Caenorhabditis elegans: one gene and its partner. The protein of the gene in region 1 purifies or fractionates together with the protein of each later gene. This does not show direct contact. Each region holds a gene or a part of one and is shown on either strand. Other genes may lie near its edges.

What was found.
Region 2: the proteins of fbxb-67 (region 1) and ndub-3 fractionate together in Caenorhabditis elegans (co-fractionation; one large-scale study listed by BioGRID). This does not show direct contact.

Annotation. Positions count from the first base shown.
Region 1 is NC_003279.8:14,294,496-14,300,369, forward strand, and holds fbxb-67 (F-box domain-containing protein), read left to right. Parts: upstream 1-2,791; 5' UTR 2,792-2,793; coding exon 2,794-2,867; intron 2,868-2,914; coding exon 2,915-3,770; 3' UTR 3,771-3,831; downstream 3,832-5,874. Other genes in the region: fbxa-103 (F-box domain-containing protein), read right to left, coding at 993-1,081, 1,124-1,371; fbxb-8 (F-box associated domain-containing protein), read left to right, coding at 4,260-4,333, 4,404-5,268.
Region 2 is NC_003280.10:8,962,308-8,967,666, reverse strand, and holds ndub-3 (NADH dehydrogenase [ubiquinone] 1 beta subcomplex subunit 3), read left to right. Parts: upstream 1-2,776; 5' UTR 2,777-2,777; coding exon 2,778-2,908; intron 2,909-2,960; coding exon 2,961-3,027; intron 3,028-3,210; coding exon 3,211-3,324; 3' UTR 3,325-3,425; downstream 3,426-5,359. Other genes in the region: szy-20 (SUZ domain-containing protein), read left to right, coding at 1-274, 329-470; sec-62 (Translocation protein SEC62), read right to left, coding at 1,013-1,078, 1,128-1,450, 1,495-1,614, 1,699-1,950, 1,996-2,108, 2,160-2,235, 2,284-2,407, 2,473-2,493; sftd-3 (Vesicle transport protein), read left to right, coding at 3,524-3,639, 3,686-3,784, 4,956-5,076.

The DNA.
Region 1 (5,874 bases):
AAGAATGCTACACCGATTGCTCGACCACCTTCACGCCGTTCCATAAAAACGTAACTGTCCCGGTCACACGAGGAGTCAGACAAGGTGACCCAATATCGCCAAACCTCTTCTCTGCGTGTCTTGAACATGTTTTCAGACAACTCAACTGGAAACACTTCAAAGGAGATGAACGATACGAAACTGAAGGAATACGTGTGAACGGTCAGAATCTCACCAACCTCCGTTTTGCAGACGACATTGTCCTCGTGGCTCATAATCCGCGAACGGTAAGTCAAATGCTTACGGAACTGGTGGAAAAGTGTAGTAGTGTTGGTCTAAAAATCAACACAGGGAAAACCAAAGTCCTTCGGAACAGGTTTTCCTATAAGAGGAAAGTTGAGATCCGATGCCCAAACACCACCAACATCATCATTGATGATGTCAACGAATACATCTACCTCGGGCGCCAAATAAACGACAGTAACAATTTGTTAGCTGAGCTTCATAGAAGACGAAGAGCTGCGTGGGCAGCTTTTACCAACATCAAAAGCACCATGGACCAGATCACCTGCCCACGCCTCCGTGCAAATCTCTTCGACTCTACGGTTCTCCCAGCCCTGACCTACGGCTCTGAAGCTTGGACTTTCACAAAAGAGCTAGCGGAAAGAGTCAGAGTAAAAGTTCGAAAAAAGTCAAAACTCAGAGATCCACTAATACACATAAAAAAGAGGAAACTTGGATGGGCTGGACACGTGGCGAGACGAACGGATGGCCGATGGATAACTTTGATGAACGATTGGTGCCCCGAGACGAGAAACGACCCGTTGGACGCCCACCGATGAGATGGAATGACTCTTTAAGAAAAGAAGTCACTACGCGAGACGCCTTCGGGCAAGTCAAACAACTATGGTCCACCCAAGCAAAGGACCGAAAAGCTTGGAAAGCTGTGATCCGCGCCGCAGGCGAAGAACGGATCGACTAAGTATCCTAAGTATCATAACCAAAAAACTCACTTTTCCTATATTCTCGAAGCTTCTCATTAAAATCCTTCAGCATCCGATCAATATATTTCCGCTTTGCGTAAAACTTCATCCAAACTGTTCTGAAACAAAATTCTGAATTTTAGTACTTTTGTAGAACATACACATCATCTCCCGGTTCTTCTATGATAAGCGGGACCTCCACTATGCGAGAACAAAATCTACGACTCAACGTTTTGCATTTGATTTTTCGAAATGGAATTAGATTCACCGCTATAAGCTTTTCATCCACTTCCTTAACAATATTAACAGATGATTTTTCGAATCGAATATTAGAGTCCTCGTATTTGGCAGTAGTGATAACGTTTGGTCCAACAAAAGTGATGTCAATAATTGATATATATTCAGACATCTATTAAGCAAATAAGATGAAAAAAGGGTGAATAACACAATGCAACACCCTGTCAAGGCAAAGATGGATCAATAAGATTATGCTCAATATTGTAATTATAGACTGTACCACGGGGCCAGCTGTTCTTCTATAACAGGGATTACATTTGTAATGCATAGGTGCAGGCTAGGAAAAAATCATAGCCGTGACCAAATTCTGGTTTGCGGTAGAGGTGTTGAAAGTGCAAAGTTCGTTTTGTTATCTACAACTTTACGCGATCATTTTATATGTCTTCAATGAGAGAGCACATTGAGTTTCTGTAGGCCGGCCTTAAGGCAGGTGGCTAGATCGGAGGTGTTAATATGGAAAGCCATAATTATGGGTTACAACATAAAATTTCAGTATCCGTGTAAGCAAGAAATTTGGGAAATGAACATAGACTGAAAATATGTAAAATATTGGTAGAATGACGGGTTTTTTTTTGAAATATCGGAAAACGTGGAAAATCAAGTTTTTGTGTGGATAATTTGAGTAATTGGGTATCGTAAGGCCCATATAAAACTTGGCGACCTTGTGCAGGAAACTCATTGAATTAGGTTATGTAGACCGCAGGCCCAGACCAGTCTTTTTGCACGAACTTACTCAAAACTCCCCACGACCCAATTCACAGTAACTCCAATTTCCAGAGGAAACACTTCATTCAAAACTAACACAAAAACCAGTAAAATCAATTTAAATTCTCATTCTTTCATCAGAAGACGCTTTGAAACATTATCCCAAACAGGTTGCACAGTAGCAACAAGCTTTCTCTTGCACTTGGTCTTCACTGAACTCCAAAAGGAGATTTTTTGATCTTGAGCCCTTGCGATTTTGGTTCCTGTGCGAAGACTTTCATACCAAGACCTAGTAGAATTCTTCACCTTCTGGATGGTAGAGGTGACATGCCAATTCTTATCACGCAGGACGTGGTAGTAGCCGATGAGAATGCTCCAGGTGTTCTTGCAGGTGTCCTCACTTGACACCGTGCTGGAAATTAATTGATTATTAAATATTGCAGTATAGACTGAGGTGAAACACCTAAGACCCGGAAATTCGGACGCGCTTTTATAGTCCGTAATCGGTCCAACGCTCACTCAGTGTGCTCTCCCGATCGATAATCTGACGTTTCACGAAGACAGTCGTATTAATATAATTTTGATCTACCTGTAAATATTGATCTGCCCTTTCTTGTTTGTTCGTAGTTTGCACTCCCTCTCTTTCCCGCGTCTTTCCCCCTTTCCAGTTTAGCCCTATAAAAGGAGATGATTCGTTCATCTTCTCTTCTTATTTTTTACTTTTACGTCTTGGGCATTGTGTGCCGTTTACCTTCTGCTACTCTTTGCCCCTTATTGCTCTTCTGTATCAAATTAATATTCACACTCACTCATTATTCTCTTTACAGTTATGTCGTTTCCAATCCTCTTGTTGCCCCCGAAAGCTCTGCAAAATGTTCTGCGAAACATGGAGAGTATGGATTTGTAAGTTTTTCCCCTTTTAAAATTGTTTATTAATTAAATATTTACAGCGTCTTCTTCTCATTTGCATCGAAAAAGTGCTTGGATCTCGCAGTTTCCCAGAACATCAAAATATCGCATCTACATTTGACGTCTGAACGAATTGATCACATCGAGATTGCGGCAGTATTTGAAGACAATACAAGTGCAGGATTAATTCCTTGGCGTGAAGCAAACCAGCCGGTATTGCTACCAATATTGGGAATTAGGTACCCAGACGGACAATATATGCAAAGCTTAGATATGAGGAGGACTGTTCGGTGGGTTGGACATAAAGCGCTCATTGAGCACTTCATCGTGTTATTCCATCGATCGAAAATCGACAGGATTAGTCTTCGTAGAGCTGTGTTGGATTCCGAACAGCTCGCCAATATGCACATACCGATTGGAGAGTTCAGATTGTGCACTGATGGTCTTCTTTACGATGAGGTTATTCGGAGTATTTCAATTCTCAAATCTGAAAAGCTACACATCACATGCAACCATAACAGTTTCGAAGACCGCCAGATGCACGAGCTACTTGGAAGAAATCTTACTGGTGTGGAGTTCAGTAAAATGGAAAAATCTTCGTTATGGATGACTAATGCAACACATATCAGAACACTGGTATGTATCAAATCACATTTGTTGAATGAATTCCTGAAGCACTGGATCCAAGGATCAAATCCCAGAATGAAATATCTACAGACTTCCGTTCAACTGGAGATGGAAGAGTGCAAGTCAAAGATATTTCAAGGGATAAATGTGTCTATTGAGGAGGATGCGATAATGATTAAAAGTCTTCGAGGAACACTTGCGAGGATCACTTTGAAGGTGGTCAGGCAGGAAGTTTCGATTCGAATGGTTGTTCAAACTACTCCATTTTAATTTTATTTACTCGTTTCTGTGATTCTTCTATGATGTTCTTTGTTAAATGAATGTTTTTTTTTTAAATTTCCATAAGCTTAGTTATTACCGTGTTCAAGACATCTTCTACAGAAAAACATCTGATTTGAAAATGTAAGGTGAAAGTTTACATAGGACACCCCTTGTCGAATCTTCCATTAATAATCGCCCAACTTCTATAGGTCACCCCCAATGTTTCGTTTGCCTGCTCCGGGGTTCAAGCTTTTGATAGGGTTAGCTCATAATTCGAATAAATTTCCAGGTAGCCTATTCTAAGTTGGCATATTGTTTTTTTCTAGCTTAAAGGGCTTGTACTTAGCTAGTTTTTTGTGATATAGGTTCTTTTTCAAATCACAAAAAATGCTTGGTAAGTAAATTTTTTTATTCCCTTCCTTCCCCGTGACCTGGACCATGTGTGCACCTGTCATCTTATCGCTAGGAAAAGACCCCTTCTAGCTCATTTCCCCTCTCATGGCTCTCCCAATTCTTCGTCTTCCCCGAAAATGCCTACGTCTCGCAGCTCTGCACATGAAATTTATCGATTTGTAAGTTGCATTTTTCTTGGATTTTCTTTTTTGTTGAGTTTTAAAAACTTAAAAACCGTATTTTTTGTAGAATACGCTTCTCATTCACCTGTGAGACTGCAAAAAATCTCGCGGAAACTTTCAACTTTCCGGTGACCGGAATTCGAATGGCTATCAGAGCAAATTTCCGTCTTGATGTTATCTATGAAGGGGAAATGTATACATTTGCAACTGAGAAGTGGCTGGAAGAACAGGATCTGGAACAAGTTTACATTTCTCGACGGCAAATCGTGATTTTCCCGGAAGAATTTGGCATCAGAAATTACATTGATCACCTGCAAATTGTGCTGAAATATCCTAAGATTACTGAGCTGTTCATTGCAAGCTTCGATCACGATTCAGAGCAGTTTTGTAAGGAGTTTGAAGGCTTGAAGTTCAGAACCTTAAGTTTTGGATCCAACGATCCACTGTCCTCAATGCGCACCGCAATCAGTCTATCCCCTCAAAGTGATATTATCCAGCTCGAAGGTGAAGATATGTCATCTGCGAAGTCTCTTCTTCTACAGAACACCGATGAAGTCTACATAACATCCTCACCATTCACCTTTACCCTCAATGACCTACTACTTTGCAATAGCCGGAGAGTGGTTGTGCGCGCGAGATGGGACCTGAAGGACCTGAACACGTTCCTGAAGCACTGGGCAGCAGGGGTAAGGAGATTGGAAAAGCTAGTTGTTGGGCATCAGAATCTACCGAGAACTTTGAATCAGCGGATGGCTAGCTTGTTCCAAGGGATCAGTCATGAGGTTTTGCCGAAGGATCGTGTGACAAGGCATTTGGATGGTGGAGAGGAAGTGATGTTCAAGGGAGGAACGATTATTAGGAGAAACGATGGAATTGAGGCAATTGTTATTTTTAGTTTTACCTTTCAAATGTTTGTGCTTAATGATTTATGAATAAATTTTAATTTGGATTTGTTTGAAAGCTGGAAACAGAAAAAAAGGTTCCTAAACAGGCCTTTCAGATTTTCAGGTTGATATTCGGCCCGGCAGCCTGGCTTTTGCCATTTTGTTGGTCCGCCAGCCAGACCTCAATAGGCCGACAGCCCGGGCCGGTCCTGCTTTACATGTGTTGATTTGACTTAGCTCTTCCGATACTGCTTTATTTGATAAAGGATTTCCTCTCTGAGGCGAAAATAGCCGCTTGGCAAATTTTTTTGTCGACAAATTCGGCAAATCGGCAATTTTCAAATCCGGCAATTCGCCGATTTGCCGGAAATTTTCAAATACGGCAATTTGCTGGTTTGCCGGAAATTTACAATTCCGGCAGTTTGCCGATTTGCCGGAAATTTTCAATTCCGGCAATTTGTCGATTTGCCGGTTTACCGGAAATTTTCAATTCCACCAATTTGCCGATTTTGCCGGAATTTTTCAATTCCGGGCACTTGTATATTTGTCGGAAAATTTCGATTCCGGCAATTAGCTGGTTTGCCGATTTGCCGGAAATTTTCAATTCCGGTAAATTGCCGATTTGTCGAGTTGCCGGAAGTTTTCAATTCCGGG
Region 2 (5,359 bases), on another chromosome or scaffold:
GTATGACCAACAATGGTCAAAACTATCAGAATAGGAATATGCAGCAGCAAGGTCAGCAGCGATCATATTCGTCACAGCCTCAGAATGGTCAGTTCTACCAAAACGGAAATTCCAACCAGAACAATCCGAATAATGGTAGAAAACAGCAGCATCAGCCACAGCAGCAGCAGAACAAATCAGGAAAATTCGGACAGAATAGAAATGATATGCAAAAGAACAATTATCAACCAAATCTACAGCAACCTCCGATGAGTCAAAATCCAATTCCATTTGGGTGAGTTTCAATTACTTGGCTCATTTTAAAATATTGTTAACATTCTTTTTGCAGATGCCCACCACGTAATGTGAATGCGATTCGAGAACAACACGCAAACAATGGATCCCCAAACACTGGCGCTGGAATTCTTGGACCACATCCAATGATGTCTGCATCCCAATGGCCAGCGTTGCAGCAGAATCGGCCTCAATAGTTTGTTATTCCATTCTACGAACACTCTATAGACAATTCATGCTTTAACCACGTCTTTTTGATGTGCTGTGATGGTCATCTTTTCACATTTATCTCCCTTTTCTTGTTCCATCAGTCCGATTCGGAATTGTGTTAATCAACACGGGTCGTACTTCCTCTTTCTCCCCCCATCTCCACATATTTATATCATTATTTTCTACATTCATTTTGGCATGTTTCAAGTTATTCAATTTTCTATTGTTATATGAGCCAAGTTTGATGAAGAAATTATCTTGTTTGACTTTTGTATAGACCAATTTATTATATGTCCAATAGTGGACCGAAACGGAAACATTCAGATTTTAGTTATGCAAGAACAATGAAGAGTGACTGAGAAAGAAGAAACTAGCCAAGAGGGTAATCACAGTATGGAAGAATGGGACGAAAAATAGTATTTAAAATGTGACGAAACCGACAGGATGAGGGTAATGCAATAGATTTTCAGGACAAGTTTTCATAAATGCAGAAATGTGGAATGGAAAAATTTCAGGATAAACTAAATTTCTAGACTTTAGCTGGACGACGTTTTCGAGGAGCATCGTCACTTGGTGATGGTGGAGCAGAGATTTCCTAAATTTCAAAATTATAATTATTTAAATTGAAACACTTATCAGATTACCTCGTCTTCAATTTTTTCATAATTATCATCAGTTGATGCCTGACTATTTTTTTCAGCATCATCGTCTTCTTCCTCTTTTTGCTCCTGTTCAGCAGCAATGTGGTCTTGCTCCTCCTCTTCTGCATCAGAATCCTTTTCTTTTTTCGACTTTTTATCTTTCTTATCTTTCTTAGCTTCTTTCTTCTCATCACCAACATACTCATAAGTATACCATGGTTGGAATGATTCAAGAACTCCACAGTCTTCAGTCAAGTTCGGCAGAACCCAGAGTTTGTGTTTTCCGAAAGTAACAGCGTAGATAATTCCGAAAAGAATAGTACGGACTGAAAATAATCGAAAAATGAATATTATTGTTGAAACAACTCACGTATAGCAGTGACAATGATAGCTGCAAAACATCCAATTCCAGTAATTGATACGTAATAAACTCCTTGGCGAAGCCATACAGGCCATAGAGGGAACAAGCATCCGACAATTGTACCGACGACTGAAATATATTAATTGGATTTTAATTTTACACATTGAATCATTTCTAAAGCAGGAAATAACAAATCAAAAAGGGAAAACTTACGCATAAGTACTCCAATAATCTTTTTCATGAGAGGAGTTGGATCGAATACCCAAACGTAGACATCTTTGTCATCGACGAATGCTTGAACTTCATGTACAAGAAGCTTCACCTTCTTTTTCTTTTTTTCTTCGTCTTTCTTTTCGTCTTTTTTCACTTCTTTCTCATCACCTTCAGCTTCGGTTGCTGTTTCTTCTTCTTTGGCTTTTTTATTTCTCTTTTCAACTACACCTTTTGGAGATTTGGTAACTTCAGCTGAAAAAAACGTGTTTTAAGATATTTTTTAAGTTTTATGATTACCAGAAGAATCGTTTCCTTTATCTTTATTCTCTTTTTTCTTTGCTACTAATTTTTTTGCACGGAAGAATAATTGTTTCGAGTTGAGTTCGCAAATATAATGGAAGCAATCATCTCTGAAAATTTAGAATCTATTTAAATTTACGTAATTTCTACAGAATGCCCACCTTGTTTTAAACATTGCATCTTTCTTTGCTTTATTTCCGTACTTGGATTCCCAAAGAGTATCGACAGCTTTATTTCCTGAAAATATATGCGATATTAATATAAACAATTGAAATTTGTACATACCACTGAAATAATGAACTTCGTTTCCTTCAAACATGGTCGTGGCTGTCGGACAATTGAATCTGATGTATTTGGCAATGTCTTCTTGCTCCTTCGTCATTTTTACGGCATCTTCCGTAGATACGCCCTGAAATTTGAATTAAAACATCGTTCTTTTCTAGTTAATATTGATTTTTCCGAATAAAAACTCACTTTTTGATTACGTTTCGACATGGTTAAAGTTTTCCTTTATTAAAAAAGCAGAAAAAATGTTGAGAATCTGAAAATACAGCCAAAACAAAAGTGGTGCGTTGGAACAAGCCAAAATCTCCTGACAATTGATTGAGAAAAGTGTGCCGCAGTTGCGCTCTGACGGAAAACGCAACTGCCGCACGCTTACACACCGCGTAAATCTACACAAACTCGGCTGGCATTTCTTTCTGATTTTATCGTTCTCTTCATTTATTTTCATAATACAGGTTTCTAAAACATTTTTTTTCAATTATTTTAATTCCAGAATGGGTGGAGGACATCACGAGCCGTTTAAGATCCCAAACTACTCAATCTACAGCAATTTTCGCGATTTTCCACAGTTGGCGCAGCATGAAAAACGACTCGCTCAAATCGGATTGAAGGATCCATGGATCAGGTCGGTTTTTTATCGATAATATTAATAAATATATTATTGATTTTTCTTTCAGAAACTACGTCTACTTGTACGATCGAAAGTATCCACACGTTGTTGGACAATGGGCTCATTTCAAGAAGGTTCGTGTTTTCTTCGAGATGAATTAAATATTATTAATATAATACCAACATAATATTAAAAAATTTTTATGGATTGTATCCTATAAATGTGCTCTTGTTTGGAAAATTTCCGAGCAAGCCGATTTTCCAAAAATTATATTAATGTATTTAGGGAATTTTTTAAAATTATTTAATAAATTTCAGTTGATTCTTCCTGGATGGAAAGCTGGAGTTGCATTCACAGCTGCCTTGATTTTCGTTGAAGAAGCTTACCAATACAAGACTCACGGAACCACCTCATGGGATGGTCATCATTAGAATTATCTGTTTCAAATCTCGAGCCGATTTCTTTTTTTTTAGTTTAAAAGTTTTCTTTTTGTGTATGTAGTTTCTTAAACTCCAATAAATCATTCATTTTTAAAATCGCAATTCACCCTCGTTGAAAATTGGTATTCTGCCAGAAAGGTTTCTATGATAACGATGTCAATAAATGTTTTACAACAACAATTTAAAGGGCATGTCTGCTCTAGAGCAGTTCATAAATGATCAGAAGAAGAAAGGAAGTGGTATCAGCAGTTCAGCTTCATTTTCTTCATTTGATTCACTTCGCAACAAGCTTCCAACGTCTATTGGGTAACAAATTTCACTTAGAAGAAATGTATAAAGTTTGAAGTTTCAGAGGATTTTCCCTACTTTCCCGAAGCGAAACAACCGATAGTCAGCAGTTATTAGTTGGAGATGATTCTGGAGATGGACAATTGCCAGCTTCCAGAAATCGGTATGTTTTGTTCAGAAAAACAAAAAAAAATAAACTGAAAATCTTGATTTCTTTGAATTAAATACTCCTAAGTAGGCAAATATCAATTAAATATTATATATTTCAATTTTTAACTGATGAGAAACGGATAAAATTGTTTTCGTTTTAATAGACTCAAAATGGTTTTGAATTACTTAAATTTCATAATAAGATTACTCAAAAACTTTCAACGCTTTTTTGGCAGTTCGAAAAAAGTTTTAAAAATATTTCCAAAAGCTATGTTCACTTATCAGCGAAATTTTACGATTTTCGCGACAAAAATACGGTAGCCGGTATCGACACGCCGTTTTTTTGGAAAACAAAAATAGATGTGAGCCTTTAAAAAGTACTGTAGTTTAAAAATTTCGTTGCCGCTGAATTTTCATCGACTTTACATAGTTTTTCGGTAAAAATATACTTATTTAAAAAATTAAAATATGAATAAGCTATAAAAAATCGACGAAAATTTCACATTAACGAAAGTTTGAAATTACAGTACTCTTTAAAGGCGCGCACCTATTTGAATTTAATTAAATTAGTTGTGTCGAGACCGGACACCGTATTCTTTGCGCAAAATTGCAAGCCCGGGAAATATTATCACTCTTTTTGTGTTAAAACGACAAAATATCATTGCATTTCAAAAAAGGATATCTTTAAAATTTACAGTCAAAAATTGGATATTACTCAGCTTTAGAAACTTATAATTATCGAAGTCAACCAAAAAAAGGATTTTTTACGAATCTTACTTCTTATTTAATGTTCTGAATATTTTTTTAGAACATTTAAAATTTCCAAACATGCGAAATGCTTCTTACTTCTAAAAAAAACCAAATTAAATTGGTATTGAGCCAAAACTATGACTAAATTGTTTTCGAAAAATCGTAATTTTTTAAAGTAAACAAAAAAAAATCTGAAAATATATTTTGTTAAATTTTCCATGTATTAATTTTTAAAGTATTCATTCATAAAAAAATGCCAAAGATATCCGTTGCAAAATTCAACTCAATTAGATTGAAATTTATATTTTGTTTTTGGATAATTGGTTAAGTTAATCAAAAATTTATCACAGTAATATCAATACTACAATTCCTCGATTCAGTACACCATTATTCAAATTTTCTCATATGTTTAAAACATTTTAATCAAGTTTCAGAAAGAGTTCCGGATGGTTTTCGCCGTCAACTCAAGATGAAAGTATGTTTGGAATGACTCGAACTCAAAGAATTATTGCATTTTTCATGTGCATTATTGGAGCAATATTCTGTTTTTCTACTGTCAGTTTTCCCTCTTTTTTTCTCAATTTTCCTCCAGTTTTTTTCCCACAATTCGAAACATTTCTCCGAGCCATTTGTTGAATGTCTCCAACACATTTTACCCTGAAAATGTGGATCCCATTAACTAAATGTTTATTTCTCTCTATACTACACACTATATCACCTCACCACCCTCACTTTATGAGAGAAGGCGGCTGTCCTCTAGGAGCCGTTATCGGTCTCGTTTTTTTTGTCTTGCTCTGTGCCATGTCATTCGAGACCAAAAGACTTGACTCGAGTACAT